Xenopus tropicalis: one gene and its partners. The protein of the gene in region 3 interacts with the protein of the main gene of each other region in a biochemical or structural test. Links are inferred from orthologs where the notes say so. Each region holds a gene or a part of one and is shown on either strand. Other genes may lie near its edges.

Region 1 (7,863 bases), on a different chromosome or scaffold from region 3:
CAACTCTGAGAAGCTCTTTTTATACCCAATCATGTTGCCAATTGACCTAATTAGTGTTATTTGGTCTTCCAGCTCTTCGTTATGCTCATATTTACTTTTTCCAGCCTCTTATTGCTACTTGTCCCAACTTTTTTGGGATTTGTTGACACTATGAAATTCTGAATCAACATATTTTTCCCTTAAAATGGTACATTTTCTCAGTTTAAACTTTTGTTCCGTGATTTATGTTCTATTCTGAATAAAATATTAGAAGTTGGCACCTCCACATCATTGCGTTCAGTTTTTATTCACAATTTGTTTAGTGTCCCAACTTTTTTGGAATCCGGTTTGTACGTAAATGTAATGACACAAAGGCACCACCAATAGAAGGAACCATGTCCCAATCTAGAAAACAGAATATTTCAGCCATGTGCAGTAGTTACCTTTGTGTTTGTATTGCATCATGGAACATTAATGGCACTTTTCAGTCAATGGCAAAAAGTGTAGTGTTCTGTATTGTTTGGCCCCACCAGAAATGCAAGCTATTGCCATTTGGCTGGTCCAATGAATGGTTTCGAAGAGAATGCATTATTGGCGCTATTATACAGCCAAGGGCAATCTTACAAAGGCAACTATAATACCCATCACCATGCAACAGTTTTCAGCTCTTTGGAGATAGTGACAGCGGCATCTTAAAGGGGTAGTTCACCTTTAAGTTAACTTTAAGTGTGTTATAGAATGGCCAATCATTCTAATCAATTTTTCAATTGGTCTTTATACATTGATTTTTTTATAGTTTTTAAATTATTTGCCTTCTTTTTCTAACGCTTTGCCGATTTCTAATGGGGGTCACTGACCCCAGCAGCCAAAAAACTCTGTGAGGCTGCAGTTTTATTGTTATATTGTATATCTTAATTTTCTATTCTGGTCCTTCCCTATTCATATATCAGTCTCTCATTCAAACCACTCCCTGGTTGCTAAAGTAATTTGGACCATACCAACCAAATAGCTGCGGAAACTATAAACTAGAGAGCTGCTGAACAAAAAGTTCAATAACAAACAAACTACAAATAATAAAAAATGAACATCAGTTGCAAATTGCCTCAGAATATTACGCTCTACTGTCATACAAAAGTTAACTTATAGTTGAACAATCCCTTTAACAACAGCTGGAGAAGCACAGAAAACACAAGCACTGGCACTTGTCACGATGCCAAGCACGCATGCTGATTCTTGTGTAATCCTAATTGTACATCCCGGAAGATAAATTACTTGACCATATACAATTTGGCCTAATCAAGTTATCAGTAATAAGGAAACTGTATGCAGGGGGCAGATTTTTCCAAGAACCTATTTTGTTCTGGCTAACCCAATCTTACATAGTTACATAGGGTTGAAAAAAGACCATTGTCCATCAAGTTCAACCCATCCGAGCAAACCCAGCACACAACCCACACTAACCAATCTATACACTCACATACATAAACCATACACACAACCAGTAATACTAACTGTAGATATTAGTATCACAATAGCCTTGGATATTCTGCTTGTTCAAAAACTCATCCAGGCACCTCTTAAAGGCATTAACAGAGTCTGCCATTACCACATCACTAGGAAGGGCATTCCACAGCCTCACTGCCCTCAACGTGAAAAACCACCTACGCTGCTTCAAATGGAAGCTCCATTCCTCTAATCTAAAGGGGTGACCTCTGGTGCGTTGATTGTTTTTATGGGAAAAAAGAACATCCCCCAACTGCCTATAATCCCCTCTAATTTTGATTATTATATGATTTGAGGAGGGTATACGGCAGGGGGTCTGTTAGCCTTGCTGAAAAACACCCAAACTTGGTTAGCCATTTCCCAATAAGTGCAGCCTGTTTAACTAGGTACAGGATCCAGTCAACAAAATCTGTGGAAATAACCTAAAAATAAAAATCCTTTAAAGACATTACACATTAAAAGATACAGTTTAATAGGGGCAATGTCTGCCAGTTATTTTGAAGTAATAATGTCTCACAGACTGATCTATGCAGACCTTGAGCAGGCTAGAGTGGGTCATAAAAATCACTTGGAGACAGTGGGCCTCCAGTTGGTCTGTCCAGAGCTAGAAAATATGCATAGATATTTAGTAATAAGCCACTTGAAAGTGCCGTGTAATAAATAGCCATCATCCATTGCTGCTTTTTCCTTTACACTCTAGCTCTGCCAGAAGTTTCCCATTGACCTAAATGGGAAATTCCATAAAAATAATGGTGGTGTTAATTATGAACAGGCAGTGTAAAATAAAATTAAAGCCTTTATAAATGTGTCAGTTATTTTACACTGCTTTTTAAAGTGTTTTCAGAAGTAAATAAACAGTCCCTTTGTGTTGCTTTTTTATAGAATGCTAAATATGGTTCTAGCTGCCCAATTCTGTCAGCCAGGGGACATTTGAATGTTACCTGGACCTGACCCTGCTCGGTTGCAACAACAGTTTGGCTTGTTCTAAATATGTGAAATAATTAATTCTGTAAAAGCAGAAAATCAGTTTTTCAACAGACTTAAGCAAAGGGAAATTGTGAACAATACAGTACCTTATCCTTGGTAGCATTGCGGTGGCTGTAAAATGTTACAACTCTCTACATCTGCAGTAAGGGCATTAGTAACTGAACAAAGAGAACTACATTTTAGCTTTAAATTAATGTTTATGTACTAAATTATAAAGATAAAATACCCAGGGAACATACTATTTATTGCTAATCCCCACGGTTTTATAGACAATTACTCATTTCAAACATTTGATTAAACTACAAAATGCTCTATGATGATACTCTCACATAATTCAGTGCGACAGGGCTTAGATTGTAAATGGTATAGAGGCATATTTCATCTGCACCATTTTACAGTACTAAACCCGCATAAAACATGTAAAGTTTGTGGATATTTACCTTAGTGATATAGGAATCATGCAGGAATCATATAAACAAGGTAATATGCCTAGAATTCTCTATGCAGCAAGGAAATGTTATATAGCAAAAATGGAACACAAAGCTATGCCAAGTGCAACACAATACAACCATCTGGTGGCTCATAACCCTTTGGTAGTTGGTCAAGGGGTAGTGAGGTGAACATTTAAGACATGACAGACATGCAAATAAAACCCCAGAATTGTAAAAGGGATGTCTTTACCTGCATGTTCACTGCACAAATGTCACATGGGTGCCATAATCATGGGGTATAGCTATGGGTCTATACACACGGGGGTTTGTACCAGAGCCAGCAGCATTATTGAAATCATGTCTGAAAAGACAGAAAAACAGGGAACAATTTCCCTATGGAGCAATCTACACTGCCACTAGACAATTAGTGCCAAAAAATATAATTTACTTGTACTGAAATGCTCTATAGAAATGTGACCTATTTTTTAGCAATGCTGTGCATGTATAGAATACCCAGCTTGTACACAAGCTATTTTTGAGCTTGGCAATTTGTGTTTGTTCTTGTGTTTGTTCCATTTGCCAATAGAGACATAATACAGCATTTTAGGTCCAGCAAGCATTTTTGCAAGCTGAAGGCAATATAGCTGGCAGGTATAGAAACTTATGTAGAGTACTATGGCAATATCATTTGTTTGTGCCAGTTGAAATCGAATACACTGCATTATACAAAACCCTAACTCACAGTACTACAATGATATAGGACTCCAATGCAGTCTGCAGGGGCTGGCACACATATGGCTCCGCTCCTGTGATTCCTGGCACAGATTACACAAACCCACAGGTGTTGGTCCAATGAATGATAACTTTCATGAATATTTGGAGCATTGCAACTTACCAAACAGTGCCATAGGCTCCTGATCCCACAGCCACCAGGTCTCTGTACCTCTCCTTCACCTCCCAGACGGTCTTATTGACGTCCTGCCTATAGTATCCCTTCTTGGGCAACGGGGAGGTGGACATGGCTACTAGTTGCCAGCAGGCTCCTGTTGCACTAGTACTATGTGAATGTGGGTCCCAGGCAGAGTCACCTGACTGCTGATACTGGGCGGCTCTCCTGAGAGGTACAGTAATGTCACGGTGAGCAGTACTGACTTGTCCTGCTCTTATTCACCATGAGGGACCGGCTGCCTTCTTTACGTAGAACAGTCTCTTCCGACCAGCCCCTCTTTCTGCGTCTTCGCTCTTCGGTCAGCTCTCGCCTTCCACTTTCGTTTTCCTTTTGTCCACTGTGCGTATTTCCCGCACCCTCAGCCTGCACAGTAGCTGCCCAGTGACGGGAAGTATTTCCCATATAGAGCCCGGAGCTTTGTGCCGTCACGTGACCCGGCCAGTCCTTCTCCCCTCCCTTCTCCAGTGCGCAGATTAGTACTTAACCCACTCACTGCTCTAGTCCGACACAGTCCTAAAGTGATTTGGGAAGTTATGTGGCCGGGAATTCGCTCACACGTTCATACGTGTTATGACCCTTCGCTACAAGAAGACGATCTTTGCATTATTTTTCAATGTGAAGCTTTATGACCTCTCTTGGCATGAAGTGCCATTATTCAATTATTATTCAATAACCCACTGCTACTACTAGGCAGTTCAACCTAACAAATTCATTCTTCCCCAATGGGTTTTTATCAGACTCGGTTTACATTATTACTAATGCTTATTTGTAATTATTATTTGTTCGTCTGTGAAATTAGATTACACAGTTGTAATATCTCAATGTGGCTGTAGTCCCAGTGTACCAAATCTAGAACAGGCTTTTGTACCTGTAAATTTAAATTGCCATTATTAAAGGCCCCTGCTGAGCTCCAAATAATCTTGGGGCAAAAGAGCCAACTCAGCCTATTGTTATGCTCCTATAAATGCAACAGACTCTTTTGACACAATTACAAGCTATAAAAGGTCCCATTGTAATATTAAGTAAGGGTGTAGCTTAGTAGCTAAAAGGGTTGTGACCATAATGCTGGCAGCAGGGGCCTAAGGGGACACAAATAATATATTTTCCCATAGAATAACCAAAAATGCAGATTAAATGAGATATTTAGTAACGCCACATGCAAGGGTCAAGGAATATTGGTGAAGGGGTTGGATTAATACTTCCTGGTCAGCAGGGTAATTAAACCATAGCAACCAAATAACAGTCAAAACTCTAAGCCTGACAGCTGCAGAAGAAACTATAGGTTTTAATGACCTATCATTTCCCATTAGGGACCAGGCCCAGCCCCAAGGGAGCATGATATTCTTGGATGCTGTAGTGTAGTTTATACATTATATTCATGTGCAGCACCCTGAACAGACAGGTCCTGCATGCAACTTACACTATTTATATAGTGTTTGAGATGCAAGATTAAGCACGCCTAAACTCATGTGCGATTTGATTCAGCTTTATTTTGCCTGATTGTACCCGCCTGCATCAGGATCTGCATTTTAGCACAGCTGCGTTACAATGTATTTCCTTAAACACAACATGCTGCATTTTTATGCCTTTAACATGCCTTATAATTCAATCAAACAGTTGTCAAAAAATATGTTTTTATTTATTCAAGAAGTTGTGTGTTTATCAAGCTGGGTTCAAATGTGTTCTGTAAAGTTTAGAACTGACAACTCCTATGAATGAATAAGAATCTTCCTATATACTGTTCTTCTTCAGTGACTGCTATGAGATGGAGCATCTATTTTGCATCTAGAGGGTAATTACACACTAGTATAAATTCACAGAGCAAAGAAAATGGAGATACACATACCCACCAGGATTCCACAGTTTTTGCCCAGTGGGTTGTGAAATGGCACCTTTCACTGACTTTTATTGTATGATAAAATATCTAACCAATTCTGTTTTGCATATGTGTTTAAATTGCCCATGAAATTTAGACATTACAATGCCTTGAATGCTACTGCCTCCCCCAGCAATGGGTCTGTTGTCTCTATTATCAGGTGCCTGAATGTGAGCATGGTTTCTTTTTCAGTGAGGAGAAAAACAAATAAAAGTTAATGCTCTTTGCTTGGATCTGGCCAAGATGGGGGCAATGCATGGGCAGATTTAAGCTTCTGATTTAGGTAATTCAAACTGATTTGGCAGTTTATCTGCCTGTGTATGGCGCACTCTGATGGGCATTCCCAACAAGTATCTGGCAGACTTGATTTTCCATTGTATCAGGGACCACATTGGCTTATTGATGTGGTCCTCATTCCAATGGCTGCTATTCGCGGTACTGTAATTAGATCATTTGGACCTATATCCCGATATTGGGCTATATTGGGAGAAAGACCAGCTAATTTGGCAACCTCACCAAATAAGCAAATCTTATGGTGTATGGTTTTACCATCACTTTCTAACCAGTGGAATTTACAAACTAATTTAACTCTCAAAGACATACATATGCACAAAGCATACAATTCAATCAGGAGGGAACCTTTGATCATTGTCCAATGGAAAGATACCTTTGCAATTGCAGAAAACCTTCTCAAATACAGGCAGAGCAAAAGTTTTTTTTTGTTTTACAATCCAATCATCTTTACTACTCATTTACTCAGCCTAAGCGTACAAAATATTTATTCTGGGCAGCAGGTTCACTTTTATAGTCAGCATGGAGGCCATATGCAATGCCCACACTGCCAAAAAAACTACAATGTATTGCACAGAATGAGGTTGTGTTACATAAAGCAAGGCATATCCCAGCAGCATGAGTCCATGCAATGTGCATTCAAATTAGTTCTCTGTCCCTTCATAAAAATTTAGCCCCATGCACATTTCAATTAGGAAAACATTATTTCAGCCTGGGCTTAGCCTATAAAACCCAGTAAATGGTTCCTATGGGTTGTGTTGGCTTCCAGTGGAGCCCTGCAGAATGGCTTTTGCATAGATAAAGTGTGGTTGGAAACATAATAACTGGATGTTCTACAATGACCCTCTATAAAGCCTTTGCAGAACAAAATGCTACCCAATAACTCTTCACTGCATATTTGTGTCAGTACTCCAACATTTCCCACAAAGTGCTAGCTGAGTTAATGGCTGTGTCCAAGTCATTACATGACCAACACCAGGATAAACTCAGCGCTAATGCACATTGCATGAAAGCCTCATCTGATTTCCATGGTGATAGCCATGACCTTTTCTATGATTTGCCATTAATTACATTGTATATTCAAGTTTGATGTACTTTATTATTAGTTTCATTCAAACTTGTAGCACCACTTCAAATGAGCACTGTATTTAGCACAGACAAACTTATAAACGCATTATATTTTAAAGGGAAGTGTTTTAGTTACTTCACTTTTCTTTTAATGCAACATCAATGAAGATTAACCTGAACAGTTCATACCCTTTCTTATGTAAAGTTTCTTTTGTCTATTTCAGGCTGATAACCAATATATACATAAAAAAACATTAATGGAATATTACCTGCATATCATGCAGCCAAAGTTCATATGAAGTTTTGTTGTTGTGGGGAGTATAATGCAAGACTTATCATGAATGTAAGACTGACCTAAATACTGTTTGTAAATAATCTTATAATATTTTAGTCTGCTGCCACCTAATGGACAATTGTCTTTGAATGCTGCTGGGAGGTCATGGTTGTATTGTTTAGAGTTTATAAAGCCTGACATTACAACAATTTACTATAAAGACAGCACTACTAACATACAAGTTGCTCATAATTAACATCTATGGTATAATACCCAAAATGAATTTATGAAAGAAACCAACCCTTAAATTTACCATTCTTAAAATTAAAATAGATTTTCATCTGTGTGTCCTAGGCAAGCATAAAAACTTCAGCCAATTAAAGCATTAGAATGCTTACAATTCATAAAAACAAATGCAGTTTAAATGGTTTAGATTAGTTGGAATTATGCAAACAAACTCCTAATAGGTTGCTACAGTTTATAGTACATAAACTATATACTTTTT
Region 2 (8,008 bases), on a different chromosome or scaffold from region 3:
TTTAATGATATGTATGATTAGCTGGTGCAATTTTGTCTACAGGCAAATCTGGCATACAAACTACCAATGCTTTCCTGCCTCCCCCGCTCTTTATTACGATAACACATTACTACTTGCAAGTTTTCTCAGGAATTTCTCAACCTCCCTTCCCAGCAAACCTCCCCACCCTACTATATGTGAAAAACTCAAAAGCCCTCTATTTTTCACTGCCTTTTACTCTTGCTTGTTCCCTGTGGAATAAAAAATGATCCTTCTTTATTTTCCACTAGGAAACACTTACTCCAAAAAAAAAATCCATGGTGGATCCAGAACTGGCTTCTGGAAAAGAATTTCCTAACAGCAGGCACTGGGAAACGCCAGTTACAGATGACCTACGTTGCGTAGTGTAAAGGAAAGGTTAGAAATTCCTGGAACCTGAATATTTATAATCTTCCATTACAGAAGAGCCCAATTCTTAGCTTTACATCTAAGTAAAATTCTGTGCTATTTTCGGCTGTGTGTATGTGTAAAACTGCTGAGCCCAATGTGCCCCCCCACACGTCCCTGTGCCTGTACTCACATGCCCTTCTTGTTCAGGCCTGTTTTGTAACGTGCTTATTTTCTCCTTCTTATATAAATACCTCACAGTGCTCAGTGGGTAATCTGCTCGCTTCATGTGAAAGCTATGCCAGGTCATTTTACTGACACAGAATGCAGATTGACAAACTCTGTGAAACATAATATAATAATATTTTCTGTAAAGCTGCCACAATTAGCCTGTTTAAACAAAGCAGCACTGTGTCATAAGGGAAGTTTTTTTTTTATTTTTACAAGGAAGGATGTTTTTTTTTCTAGCAACCAAGGATATAGGCTGTACCTAAAGGACATGTAAAGTCTATTTCACTTGGGGTTTTCAAAATGTTAGGCACCCCCCAGTGAAATAGATAAGTTTTGTCCCCAGGCTGGTTCTCCTGTTAGGAAAGAACCACACCAGCCTGTGGACAAAACTGTCTGGACTGGGCACCACTCAGATATCTCCTTACCTTATTTCTTATTGCTTGGTGCTTGGCATTCTGTGCATGTGCAGTTGAGTAGATCTCAATGCGCATGCGGAACAAGAATTTGCGCAGGGGATGCCTGGGGCGCCGGTAGAAAGGTTAGTAAAATGGCAGGCGACACTCAGGTTCCTTAGTTTTTTTTCCGAGAGTGTCTATTACACTAGGGGGTTGCCTAACATTTTGGCATCCCCCCCAGTAAAATAGACTTTACATGTTCTTTAAAAAATTTTAGTTATTTGATGTACACTGAGTTACCGCATTCATTAGAATGATACCAACACCTTTCTGTATATGAGGAATTGGCTCATATTGATAACAAAAAACCTGGACTCTAATATTTATTTTATACATACCCTCCTCTTCCAATCCTCCCCAGCTGTACCTTTCTACACTCACATGCTAGCTTCCCATTTCCGAGGGGCACCAAATCTGCCATTCTGAACTGAAAGGTGGCACACTACCTTTAGTAGTGCTCCCTAAAATGTAGTGCTGGTGCCACTGGAGAATATGGAGCAGTGGCCGGCTGAAGATCAAATAATAAGAATAGCTATGTGCTCTCCTTGATACACCTTAAAATTTAGCTTGAAGGTCAGTTAGGATGAGAGTTAAGGTGAAAACATATTTTCTGTACTAGATATTCTTGGAAGTTTGGCTATTGCGTCAATGCATCAACCGTAACATTGTTATGTTGTATAAGAAGAGGCCTACCTAAAGCTTAGGCCTTCAGGGAAGCTTGAAATGTAGAAGTCCAGCAACTACTGTCCTGTATGCTGGAGAAACGTTTATTAAAATTATTTCCTTTTTCTCAGTACATGTATGGGACCTGTAATACAGAATGCTCGGGACATTTGGTTTTCCAGTTAAGGGATCTTTCTGTAGTCTGGATGACCATACTTTAATCACTAATCACCTCTAATCATTTAAACATTAAATAAACCGCCAATATAATATAATTGCCACCAATATGGATCAATGCAGCTTTGTTGCCATCATGTACAAGGTAGTACCTGTACCTTGTGACTGACTTGTACGTGTTGGTAACTAACCTGCATAAATTCATATTTATGGCAAAACAATTCTATTAGGTTTATTTAATGTTAGAATGATTTTAGCAGACCTAAGGTTTGATGAACCAAATTATGGAAAGATCCCTGATACAGCAAACCCCAGGTTCCAAGCATTTGGGATAATAGACCCTATTTGTACTTGCACTCCAGCCTTCCCTAGCCTGGATCCAGCACCCCTGGAACCACATCCATTTGTGTATCAGGGTGTCAAAACTTTAAAAATTAACACCAGGCTGATGGTATGGTATTTTTTCAAAAGCCTGTACATGCCTCCTATTGGAGAGCTCTGTTTTGGTTTAATGTTACCTGTTACTTTCAGGTAGTTTGTTTTTCTTTCAGATTAGAATGATCTCAAAGATATTAAAGGGAAAAAAGGAATTGTGATTGCAAGCCATCAATTCCTAGAATCTGGAATGCATATACCATATGAAACTAAATCAGGTATAGAATAACCATTCCTGTTGTCATGGTATTCCAGCAAAAACAGATTTGTCTAATTTCCCCACATGCTGTGCTGGCATTTCCTGGCCTGTCCCAACTACATCACAACTTTGACCTTTGGGATACATGTTCATGAGGATCACTTATATCCAAGGCATTTGTATTTGTTGTCAATGTATTGTAGAGTGGCTATAAGTCTCAACTCTAGACTTATAGCTTATTGAAACTTATCCCAATCAAAAACACATACCACATGGGTCTAACTTATTATTGCAAGTATTTGTTATACAAAATTATAGTGATGGAGGCTTAACAAGATTTACCTTTTGATACATATTTCTCTGTATAAGTCTCTGTAAGGAAATATATGAAATATATGAAAATCTGTACAGAGTTTGTTGTCTTTCATGCAGAAATGATTATTTTTATATATTTTTATAATGGCATTAAATTCAAGAATGATCAAAAGCCAAACTTGCAGCCTCAAAGAGAAAGTGGAGGCACTGGCTACGTGATGAAGAGTAAAATATATTTAGAAAAACATAATTACATGCAGGAAAAGTTGGAAACTGTCTGGAGAATGTCAATGTTCCCTTTATATTACAGCAAGCTGCAAGCACTTGTGTGACATTTTGAATGTAGAGGGGGATAGGAAACATAAATCCTCCTCTTGTCCAATACTTTTTGCAGGGTAACTGTGAGGAGCAAATCAGAAGGGCGGTACCAAGGATATCCAGCCCACAAGTCTCCAGCTACTGTACTGTTGGACTACAAGCTCCTTGGGCTGTCAGGGGGGTTCTGGGAGTTGTAGTTCAAGAACAAAACAGGAGTGTAAAAGGAGTAACATGGTTAAGTAACCACAGAAGTAGTTTAGAATAAGGGATGATATATGCCATCCTATTGGTTTTGGTATAGGATGCGCAATCAACAGGGTGAATCAAATGTATTAGGGGCTTATAATACTCAACAGGAGATGGGAGACATGGAGAAACAGTTGCAACAAATCTTACAATGATTCTTAAAGTAACAGCATATATAATATATGACTTGTTGTTATGCTCTCATTCATCTACTCTGGGTCCAGCGCCTATCAATGTTATATATAGCAGCAGGGCCCATCACCCCAGTCACACTGATATGGCAGAACTTGTGCCCTGATCATGTTGGGTTGGACAAGCAATCCCTTGCCTAATGGAAAGCACATGATGCTGCTGCCAGCTGGGCATTGCTCCCCGCCTGCCTCTCACCTGGGGATGGTGATGCACTTGGTGCTGATGCTCTGGGTGGTCAGTGCCTTCTCCAGCTCGTCCAGCTGCCCACTCTTCTTCAGTTTCTTCACCAGACTCTTCACTGCCTTCTCACACCATTTCTCCTCTTGCCCATTCTGCTCTCCCTTCTTCCATCCCAGCAGCCTCTTCACGATGGGGGGAGTGAAGGGAAGAATCGAGGACATGACAGCCCCCCAAGCAGAACAGAGATATAATAGGAGAGAAAGGACAGGAGCTGGGGGGCCGCGGGGGAGACAAGGGGACAATCCCTGTCAGGCTGCAGCTCACACACCTATTGTCACTCAGGCTCCTTGGGACTCTTCCCCACTGGCGCACACACACTTTACTCAGCAGCTATTACTACGACTCTCTCTTTTGCCCTCTCTCTCTCTCTCTAGATATATATATACTTCTTACTGTGCACTCTCTGCCCGTACTGTGGCCTCAGTCGCTCCCTGTCCCTCTCTGTGCTTCAGCACTCAACCCCTTCTCTTCGCCTCTAACTTTCTAACCACTCTCCCCCCCCCCTCTTCGCCGACTTACCTCCCCTCTCAGAAAAGCATCCCTCCTTCCCTCCAAAAGGCCACGCCCACTCCATTTCACTGACACCTCTTCTTACGACGACAGAATCTGACCACGCCCCTAATGTCTCGTCCTGCTGAGGACGTAGGCCTTTAATTAAAGGGGAGCCTGTCAGGAACGAGAAGAATCAGTGAGGAGAGGAATCCTCCTCTCGCGATATTTCCCCTCAGCAGCAGCTACAACCTGCGAGCGGGAGGGAGAATTAAATGTGTATTAACACCGAGGTTATTAAGAGTTACTGGTGCATAAAAACTGATACCACAAGCTGCAAAGTATAGCAGAATTATGGGTTTCTGACAGAAAGTCACTTTAAAAAAGCTTAAATAAAAAAGTAAAGGTGATAGTCATTAATGTTGGCCCCTACCTAAAGTGCCTTTGGCTAGACATCCTTGGTTTGGAGTGGCCAGGTCCCTGTAGCTGCCCACCACCCAGTTGCAAGCTTCTGCATATGGCAAACTCAACACCACGCACCCTTTACATTTTGCTTCATCTTTACACTAAATTGGGGATCGTGGGTGATAGCTGGTGGTACTGGCGGGGAGCAGGCCTGGGTGGGGCCCTTGAGATTCAGAACCCAGTGGGTTTTCTTTCAGTGTTCCGCCGGTCAGTCCATCCCTGGGGCTGAGGCCCCAAAAATATGGAACATATATGGCAGAAAATTGATACCAAAAACTAAAAATGTTAATGAATAATGGCATTAGCTATTTTGTGTGTGTAACTCTAATGCCAGACATATAAGGCACACTTAGTAAACTCAGGCAATGCAATCAGTTGGGCACTAATTTGCAGTGGTAAAGGCCAATGAGTCACAGACAGCTTAATTGCACTTTAGTAAGCTGGAGGCAAAGTTTTTGAAGGAGAAGGAAATATTAAATCACTGGGCAGGCTCCAAATTGTTGGCACCTAGGCACAAGCCCTCGGGTGCCCATATAGAATATACGCCCCTGCTTTTTCCCCTTCTGAGGCATACTGGAGACAGCTCTAGACAGATGGAAAAAGAAAGTAAGTGCCCGTTTTTACATTTCTGCCTTGGAGACAAGCTTTTGGAAGCATAGAGATGGAGCTTTACTTCAATCAGTCCACTTGGGCTACCAAATAGCCAATCACAGCCCTTATTTTGCATAATCTACAGAACTTTTTCATGCTTGTGTTGCTCACCAACACTTTTAACATCTGAGTGTGGCTCACATGTAAAAAAGGTTGGGGATTCCTGGTCTAATATATCCATTACATGGCTAATGCTACACTTTGTGTATACTCGCCAAGCCAAAAAAACGAGAAACAAGAGCTGAGAATACGCCCCTACCCTTGAAAAAACTTCTACTTGTGCCTGCACTGTGAAGCATTGAATACGCTCAGGTGCAGGCACATGTAGCCAATATCCACTGAAAATGCAAAGCTACATGTGCTTGCTGTAATCCATTACAGCAAGCACATGTAGAAGTTTTATCAAGCCTAGGGGCGTATTCTCGGCAAGCATTTTTTGGCTTGCCAAGAATATGCAAAGTGTGGCATTAGCCTGTGAGGTTAATATTTAAATCTTGGAGACCTTTACGTGCAGGAAAAACCTTTACATACCTCTCAATGACAACTTCAGGCTTTTAAGGGCCTTGACAATTCAAAAAAATATTATTTTATTATTATGCATTTCAAATTAGTTCTGGGCAGTTTTCTGTCACTAAATTTGTCCAGTTTTAAAACTTTTGTGCATTTGTCTCCATTGCTTTGCTACTGTTTCCTATAACAATCCCTCTTCTAATTGTTAAGGAATTAAGCTGCAGAAATTTTAGACCACTTCCTTCTGAATCCTGCTTTAAAGATTGCTAGAAACAGTGCTGCTGTATAATCAAGAATCAATCAGTCTTTAGAGAACATAACCCAGTAACCTTTGCAATATTGTAACAACATTTTCCAAAAACTACTAATTATTATACATTGTTTTTTAAGGCCTGAAACAAGGGCCGGAACTAGGGGTAGGCAGAAGAGGTACCTGCCTACGGCACAACAATGAGGGGGCTCCAGGTACCTCTCCTGTCTACCCCTAGTCCGTGCTCCCTTGTCATTTTTATTCCCCTCGCCACTTGTTATTGCAAGGGCACAGGGGTGAGGTGGCCGACTGGGTTGCCTAGGTCATCCAGTCGGCTAAGCCCTCCCCTGTCCCAGACCAAGAATAGTAATAGAGTGCAGGGCAGTTTGCCGTACTATAGGATATACATGGCATTGTGTAGGCTAGTCTATGAATAGTTTGCTAAGATACTGAGATGCCCATTCTATAGCTCTCACAGGAGGGTTGCCTAGGGGGTCTGGTTGGCCCGCCCCTGCCTGAAACACAAATGCAAGGTCGGACTGGGGGATGCAGGGCCCACTGGGTGCCCAATTGGTGCTTAATAGTGCTTAGTGATGTAATTTCTGTCACCACTCTCTGGAACTTGTGTATTATAATAAATAAAGTACCCCCTGTTGAAAATAAGAGGCTATAAGAAGTTACCTCGGAGTTCCTCGGCCTTGTGCTTTTATACTGTATGCTCATGGACCTTCTCTGTGACTTATAATATCCTTATATTTTTCAACAGGGGTTACATTATTCTTTATACAACACACAAAAGCCATGATTATCCTGTAAACTAAATCCTTATAAATGGGGCTTAATTATGTCAACAATCAGTGTTTAGCTATGTAATATGTGTCACCTGACTTACCTGAACTTGTTTCATAATAATGCACCACGTTTGTAAATCATGAGGATATTAGAAGTCACTTTGAGTTCCATGACCTATATAACAACACTTGGCCTTCAGCCTCGTGACTTTATATGGGCATAAAACTCCTCATATATTACAACAGGGGGGTACATGATCCCCTATATATTTTTTGACATAAAGGATATAGCACATGACTGAGACATTGCCATTGGAGAAGCACCCAGCACTGCCCCTGCCACTATTCATTCAATAGGAACTGCCTGGCTGTAGTAGTGCAGGTAGGCCTTATCCTGAAAATGCTTCAACCTACATGAACTTTTTACTATGTTTGTCTGTTCCAACACACACTGCAACAGCTGCATACCACTTTCATTAAAAAATTATCCTACATTTTCTGAACAAACTGAGATCTGCATTGCAAACCCTGTAGCTACAAAGGAGCTACCCTCCACAGGTGTGGACTGGTATACAAACAAGGCCTTGGTATTAAGTACACAGAGGCCCAAACAGCCCTCCCACCCATCTTATAACAGCCCCTCTGGCATTTGCCAGAATCCACAGATTGCCAGTTTGGCCTGACCCACCACTTCACAATGCTGGGAAGTGCCACACAGTCAACCTGGAGTGGTGTTTACCACCTGATAATCAAAAGCTTGTGACACGTGTGACACATCCCATTGATGTCCTTGTGAAGCAATCTTTGCAGGGTACCAGGAATTTTGATTGTTACTACAAGTGATCAGAATACCCAGTGTGCAATTACCCTTTATAAAATATAACAATTTTTTATTACAAAGACGGTGGGGTAATTTGTCAGCTAAGAAAGTCTGTCTATCCACTGGTAAAAATACTATGGGATGGCACAGAAAAATCTGACTTAATGACAATGATGGAGTAAGCAGCAGTGACAT
Region 3 (7,396 bases):
ATAGTATGAGGTTGCCCGCTCTACCTTCCAGTAACCGAAGCATGACAACCTTGTATAAAGAATAACAATAATAAATAACATTACAAGATCTTAATGAGTTTAGGCTTGCTTGTTATTTACTCTATTATTCAATCACCAACAAAGAAGAAAATCAGCCTGACATAGAGTGCTATTCCACACAGATGGAAGTATTCCCACATACTCTTTATAACAAATATTAATGAAACAGGAATGCTTCCTATGTTGCCCATTTTCCAACATGCACCATACCAGTACGTTATATATATTGTACACATTACATTTCTTAGTTCCCCCTTCATTTACTTGCTATTGTCAGCAAAAGTGTTTCATGTGGGATACAGTTATGAATAAGTATAAAGAGCTGTTATAAAGTATAAAGAGCTCCATATCCTTTCATTTTTTTTCTAGACCTCGGAGGCAATCTTGGTAGAAATTGATACAGAGGATAAGGAGAAAAACATGCCAGCAAACTGTATAAAGAAGCTTCATGAACCCAGCACAGAGAATTCTAATGGGAATTCACAGTCAACCACTCTTGTAAACAATTTTTGGAATGCGAAAACAGCCAACCATGAAGACACACTTGAGGTACAACGTTGTTTTACTCTCTGTTTTGGCCATGAAAGGGAAGAGGTTCTGACACACTCAATATAATATCCTGACAGTTCAGTGGTATATGCTAAATACTGATATCCATCTACCATACAGTTTGAAAGAGCTTTTTAGTTCCAGGTTCGCTGCTGACACCATGCTGAGAGCATATGTAGGTAACAGAACAGCCTTTAGAGATGGGTTATGATGTGATGGGTCCATGTTTTATATGTTTTTGTCCAGATTAATTGCCAGGGAGTGACACACACAGACTAATAATAAAGATTTAGATGTAAATTAAAAGGGAATGCCACCTAAACACAACTTAAGATTCTTCTAAGTAAACATAATTTCAAGCAACTTTGCAATATACATCAGTTAAAAAATATGCAGCTTTTTCATGATTTTCATGTAATAATGTGATTTGGAACAGTTCCCTAAACCTGGCCCCCTGTTCCCCTGCTGATCTGGCTGACTACTGCCAGACAACTGCCCTCAGCCTGCATCCTCCAAATCGCACAATTCCCTGAACACATGATGTCAATAAGGAAAGGAACCACAGTGCAGTGCATTGTGGGTTATGTAGTTCCTGCATGCTGACTGTAAGCTGTAGAGAAGTTGTTAAAAATTATAACATCAGTATTTTAGTCCCTCTACTCCTGCCAAGATTTCACATGATGCAGAAAGAGAAGAACTGTTTCTGATTTGTAGCTGGATTTCAGCATATAAAAATGAGTTTTAGTCTATTTGAAAGAAGACATTACAGTGATATGTATATTAGGGGTTTCTGCATTGTGTGGGGCTCATATGGAGTTCATTATCCTGGGTATAATAAAATAAATATGTATTAAACTTCTCGGCACTGAGAACAAAAAAAATCGCAATATTTGCTTAAATTGTTGGACTGATGAACACTTTTAACTTTAGATTTTGGGGTGCCTTGACAAGGCTGTGCTGTTCTGATCTAGTCACCAGCTAGATTTTCCAGTAAATCTACCTTTTGGCACCCCTGGTATAGTTTGCTCAAAATGGAAATTGTTTTAAATGAAGTATTTGTTAAATGTACTCCTGCTGCAGGGATCAGAAGACTTATCTTACGATGATGAAATGAAGATGGCAGAAATGAGGCCACCTCTAATAGAGACCTCCATGAATCAACCAAAAGTAGTAGCCTTGAGCAATAACAAAAAAGGTAGGCAACAAACTGACGGAATGATTATCTGGCTTCACTCGTGTGGGCGTGTCTGTCAGACAACTGTACTAGTGTGATGGCAGCTATGACACATGACAGTTTTCTAAGGGGCTGATTTTACAATTTGAGAAAAAAACGCAGCAAATAATCATGAATGCGAATATACTTGAGAATATTATTAAGAACCACGAATAGTCTGTATTCTGAAAAAAAAAACCCTCGAAAAGCAACCAGAAAAAACTTTTCAAGTCAAAACTGGCGAGGTTTATTAGAAGTCAATGAGAATTATTTCTAACGACCTGAATGTTTTAATAACTGGGAAAATAAATAAAGTTTTTTTTAGCCTCTTTGAAATTGAATGGAACAATGTGATTCTCGCCAGGGTGCAAATATTTTCTGGGACAAGATTTCACACATGTTTTGTTGCAGTTATTATTTTCCCGTTCGCATTTTTTTTTTTAACAAACTCAAATTTTGATAAATCTGCGCCTAAGTAATAAGAAGTATTTGTTTGGTTGAGCATACCTTAGGGGCATGTATAAATAGCTATTTTCTCCTCTATAGCATGCACCTTTACTTACTATATGATTCTGAGAATTATTTTGTATGGAAAGTATGAAGTGGAGCAATAGATTTTGTATAAGACAACTAACGTTCTTATTAATTCATGCATTTAATAAACTGTCTGGAATTCCAAGACTTTTGTACACTGTATAAAACCTGACAATATCTGCCTTTATAATTATGCAGTGTTGTTGCAGTTGTGTATGTTGTAATAAATAAATAAAAGGGATAAAACTACTATTTTAGACAACTGGCAGCTTGCCAGAAGACCTGACTGACGAGATATGTATTAATTATGTTTCAGATGATACAAAAGATGCAGACTCCTTGTCTGATGAAGTGACCCGCAACAGTAATCAGAACAACAGTAATTGCTCCTCGCCATCTCGGATGTCAGACTCTGTCTCACTAAACACCGACAGCAGCCATGATACTTCATTATGTTCTCCGGAGAAAGATTGCAACATTGGGGCCAATTCGAAAATAAGGTTTGTGGTGAACAGATTTTGTATTTGATAAAAGTTGCCAGTAACGTGTCTTTTTATATACTGCACTGTATTTTTCTTCCTGAAAAGGTATTGCTATTAACCTCCTAGACTAATACTCTAATGCAAGCCTGGGTCAGTTTCTAAGTTTCCTTCATTCAGATGGTACAACTTTTGATAAATCTGTTAAATTCACCTACAGTTTTATGTCTGCAAAGAATAGAACCTTTTTTATATAGTTACATAGTTACATAGGGTTGAAAAAAGACCATTGTCCATCAAGTTCAACCCATCCGAGTAAACCCAGCACACAACCTATACTAACCAATCTATACACTCACATACATAAACTATATATATATATACAACCAGTAATACACATATATATGTTTTACAATGCATATATAGAAGTTATCTTACACAGAATATACATATTTGTAAGTACTACAGTGGTGCATAAACAAGAGCAGCGATTCTTACCCTATGGGTTTGGACCCAAAAGTGCATTCCCATATGGTTTTGTGAGTCTCCACAATCTACACTAAATATGTCAAATGCCTTTCTACATTAGAACATAGTTTTGTAACAAGGTGCATATATGTTTCTAAGCCAATGTTTGGGTTGAAAATCTAATTTAGCAATTTATGTTGTCCATGTTAAATGAGATGGAAAGGTAAAAACTAAGTAAGCTTTATCAGAAAAGTCTATGTAAATACAGCTATAAGCACTTACAGTAATGCTGCACTGAGTCCTCTATCAAAAGAAACACAGGTTTTTTTCTTCTTTTGTATAAACATGTTCTTCTGTATCAGACTTCCTCTCAGAAAAATCCTTCATTCCTGGGGCCGAAGTCTGTGCAGCTCTCTCCTCTCTCCCCATCCTCCTGCCATCTTCTGCTCCCCCTCCCATAAGAATTCAGAAGAATTCACTCCCCCTCCCATCAGAATGTGCAATCTGTGCTACCAGCCTCTAGAGCTGCAGCATGGAAGCTAAGGGAGATCAAGCTAAAATGGCAACTGCTGTCTTAAACAAACGGAGGGAGCTTCTAGGGCCCTTTTACTCAGGTATAGTAAAGCTTTCTGCAGAATAAATATAGTGTTCTAGGTGGAACTAATGTGGCATTCTATTGGCAAAAAAATCCCAAAATGACTTTCTCCTTTAAACACTGACTGTCTTTGTCATTATCTATTGCAATGGCTAATTGGCCTGTGTTTGCAAAAAGCAATCTTTTCCTGATGAAAGCATGCAGTGACATCAAGCCATTTCCAGTAGTTGAGCTGTTCGTAATACTAAACATTAAAATAAAGTTTTAACCTTGTGTAGTATATACTTCCACTTCTGTATATACTGTTTGCATTTTGCTATTTTTATTAATATTCTGTACTGATTCTCACTTTATTTTGCTTTTCAGACAAGAAGATGAAAACTTAAATAACTTTATGCAAAATGGAGACAAGCTGAGCCCTGCTGATAAAAGAGAACTAGCTGAGCTACCAGATATAAACAACGACGTTGAACTAGTTACGAGAGACAGACGAGTAATTAACTCCATGGAAAAGCCACTTAACCTAAACCAAATAAACAAAAACAACAACAACGTCGCTTGTGAAGATAAAATACATTCTAACTCTGTGGAAAATTCCGTGATTTCAAAAGATAGGGTCTCCAATAAAAGTTTTGGCAATTACAATGATGAAACAGACAACATAGAAAATGGGAATAAATTCTCTGGAGTCTGTGTGATGAATAGAGTAAACGGCCATTTGCCTGAAGAGCCAGTGTCTCCAGACACCAGTGAGCCGGTAAGGAGCACTTCAGAGGACTCTGTGCCTTCTGTTGATATGTGCATCTCAAAGAGCACCGATGACCTGTCACTTGGGGACAGTGTGGGCTCAGTAGTGGGCTCAGTAGTGAAGTCTCAAAGCATCACAAACATTGAGACTGGAGCACTAAGGATCTACAGTGTCCTCAGCGATAACAGTGCACCACAATATGCTACAAGGATGTCTTCTGCAAGTGCTGAAGGGCAAAATATTGTCAGAAGTAAGTCGGCAACTCTTCTTTGTGATCAGCCCTTACAAGTGTTCACCGGGTCGTCCTCTTCCTCTGACTTAGCAGCATCGTCATCCATAAAGAAAATGCTGTTTAAATTTGATACCAACCACAATCCTGAGGGGCCATATGCAGTGGCAGGGCCCCAGGGATCTCCAATGTCTGCTGTGCCTCAATATAATGTGCAGTATAGCACCAGTGCTACAGCCAAAGATAACCTGTGGTCACAGAAACAAAGTGCCCCTGTTGAACAAGGAACTTTGCCTTCGTCTCGCTTCCACCCATCAGATAGCATAGATAACCCCAACTATGTCAAACACCCTTCTAACTTGAATTTTTCCAATCACAACAACGTTAGATCAAGTAACATGTATAATGTGCATCAAAGGATGGGGCCTAGGCATGTGGAAGCGTGGGCCCCAACACCAAATGATCGGCTTCTTCAAGTAGCGACGCGAAGTACACTTCAAAGACAAGGCAGCGTTTCTTCAAATGCATCTGTATCTCTCGGGGAGGCAGGGTCTGCTAGAAGGGTGCTTGTGCCAGAGGGGGATTATATGACTTACAGAGATCTACATACAGTGAGCAGAGGAAATCACATGATGCCTGGTCCACAGAGACCAATGTCTGCCAGGACATATAGTATTGATGGCCCGAATGTGCCCAGGCCGCAAAGTGCACGGCCGTCCATTAATGATATTCCTGAGAGAACAATGTCTGTCAGTGATTTTAACTACTCTCGGACTAGCCCCTCTAAAAAGCCAAATGCCAGGGTGAACTCAGAGCATTCGTTATTAGACACTCAAGGAAGAAGTAAAGTCCCTCATGACTGGAGAGAGCAGGTCTTACGGCATATTGAGGCAAAAAAGCTTGAGAAGGTAAGCTGACCTGTTTTGTTTTCTGTTCAATTTATATGCAATGTGATTTTGTATATCTTGCAAAAGTGTTAGATGGAGATTGTTGCAGTTTAACAATAGTTAAAAGGCTACGTTATAGACACAGCTAATTAAAAACATGGAAACACTTCTGACCTTAAGTGCTTTTACTTTAAAGGCAAAATATACCTTTTTTTACATGAGCTTATTCCGTTAGGCTTATATAAAAAAGGTGCAGAACTTTGAAACATAAATACAAACCGTTTTTTTTTTTTATTATTTACACAGCCACAGATTAAAAGGAAACCATGATAGTCTGTCTCTGTGCTCACTGAGACCACCCCCTTTAGGAGCACAGTGTAATGAAAGCCCTTCCTTACCTTATTCCATTGTTAAGTGGTGCTTTCTGGGACTTCAAGTCTCACTACTTTTCATTGTGGGTGTTGCACCAGTTCTCTAGAGAGCAGAGGGAATGAAGTCCCAAGGCCCTTAAGTTCACAATGTAAGGTGGGGGAGGACTTAAATTACACTGTGAGGATTTTTTTTTTGTTTTTATATGTTTAAAAAGAAACCTGACATATTTGTATTGAAATGATTCAAGTTGGTATCGCTAGTAATAAAGGAGCAATTTTTTTTCTGAAATCCACTTAAAAGTGTAACTAGATTGTGCCTAGACTCCCTACACTCAGCTCACAAAGGGCTGATTCTGCCAGGCACACTTCTCATTTTTCTACTTTTTAGATTGCATGACAGTGATACTGTGCTGCCCCCTGATGTTCAACAGGAAGTACAGGATTTTGCAGTTTTGCATTATTATTGCTCTTATCTATTTTTAGTATTTTCACAGTAAAATAAAATATGTCAGTGGCCAATAGAATTTTACATATTTGGAATTCCACAAGTTGAGTTCAGTGCCTGCGGTAAAAAAAATTTCCTCTGAGCTCGCTGCTTTATGATTACAACCAGCTCAGCTTTACAATAGACACAACTCTGTTCAGCACTTAGCTAGAAAGTAAAGTGTGGGGAAAAAAAAATCTGACTAAGATATTTTAAAAGCTGTTGGTATATGTGTCATACAAATAAATAAATTAGGGATGCACCATATCCAGGATTCAGTCAGGATTTCACAGAGTTTGGGATTAGGCCAAATTCTAAAGTAGTGGATTTGGTGCATCTCTAGAATAAATAGGGCTTTTGATCTGCCTGTATCTGCTCATTGAGGGAGTAGCCACATTGCTGACTTTGCCTGCCCTATCAGGGCATGGTGAGAATCTTGCCTTCAGCGGCAGAGTGCAAATAGTTGGCAGGGACAGCAAAAGCCGCCTCTGGTAACTTTAAGAGCCGAATTTCTGTTTTTTTTTAAACAGAAATTCATCTCTTTTAGTGCAAAAAGCACAATAGTGCTCAGTTTTACGATAGGCACTCTCTGCACTAGCGACTCGGTCCCGACATAGAAGAGGTAAACGTGGAGCGGGTAAGGGGAAGTGGCAGCAGCCCCAGAAACGCCAGTGTGCCCTATAGCTTTAGCCATTATTCCCAGAGGGCCTGTAACACCAAAAAGTGAAAAGTCATTTTTCAGCTGGCTATTTCCATTCACTTGAAAGGGAAACACGCTC

What was found. The genes of interacting proteins can lie anywhere in the genome.
Region 1: the proteins of erbin (region 3) and mapk12 interact in a test that uses a peptide from one of them, tested with the Homo sapiens proteins (2 studies listed by BioGRID and IntAct). The link is inferred for Xenopus tropicalis from reciprocal best matches to the Homo sapiens genes ERBIN and MAPK12.
Region 2: the proteins of erbin (region 3) and smad3 form a complex in vitro, tested with the Homo sapiens proteins (2 studies listed by BioGRID). The link is inferred for Xenopus tropicalis from reciprocal best matches to the Homo sapiens genes ERBIN and SMAD3.

Annotation. Positions count from the first base shown.
Region 1 is NC_030679.2:71,610,324-71,618,186, reverse strand, and holds the start of mapk12 (mitogen-activated protein kinase 12), read right to left. Parts: upstream 4,288-7,863; 5' UTR 3,921-4,287; coding exon 3,796-3,920; intron 3,262-3,795; exon of another isoform or gene 3,151-3,261; intron 1-3,150. UniProt on the Homo sapiens protein: Serine/threonine kinase which acts as an essential component of the MAP kinase signal transduction pathway.
Region 2 is NC_030679.2:117,362,318-117,370,325, reverse strand, and holds the start of smad3 (mothers against decapentaplegic homolog 3), read right to left. Parts: upstream 4,288-8,008; 5' UTR 3,999-4,287; coding exon 3,793-3,998; intron 1-3,792. UniProt on the Homo sapiens protein: Receptor-regulated SMAD (R-SMAD) that is an intracellular signal transducer and transcriptional modulator activated by TGF-beta (transforming growth factor) and activin type 1 receptor kinases.
Region 3 is NC_030677.2:187,517,010-187,524,405, reverse strand, and holds part of erbin (erbin), read left to right. Parts: intron 1-429; coding exon 430-609; intron 610-1,689; coding exon 1,690-1,804; intron 1,805-2,672; coding exon 2,673-2,856; intron 2,857-4,264; coding exon 4,265-5,783; intron 5,784-7,396. UniProt on the Homo sapiens protein: Acts as an adapter for the receptor ERBB2, in epithelia. By binding the unphosphorylated 'Tyr-1248' of receptor ERBB2, it may contribute to stabilize this unphosphorylated state.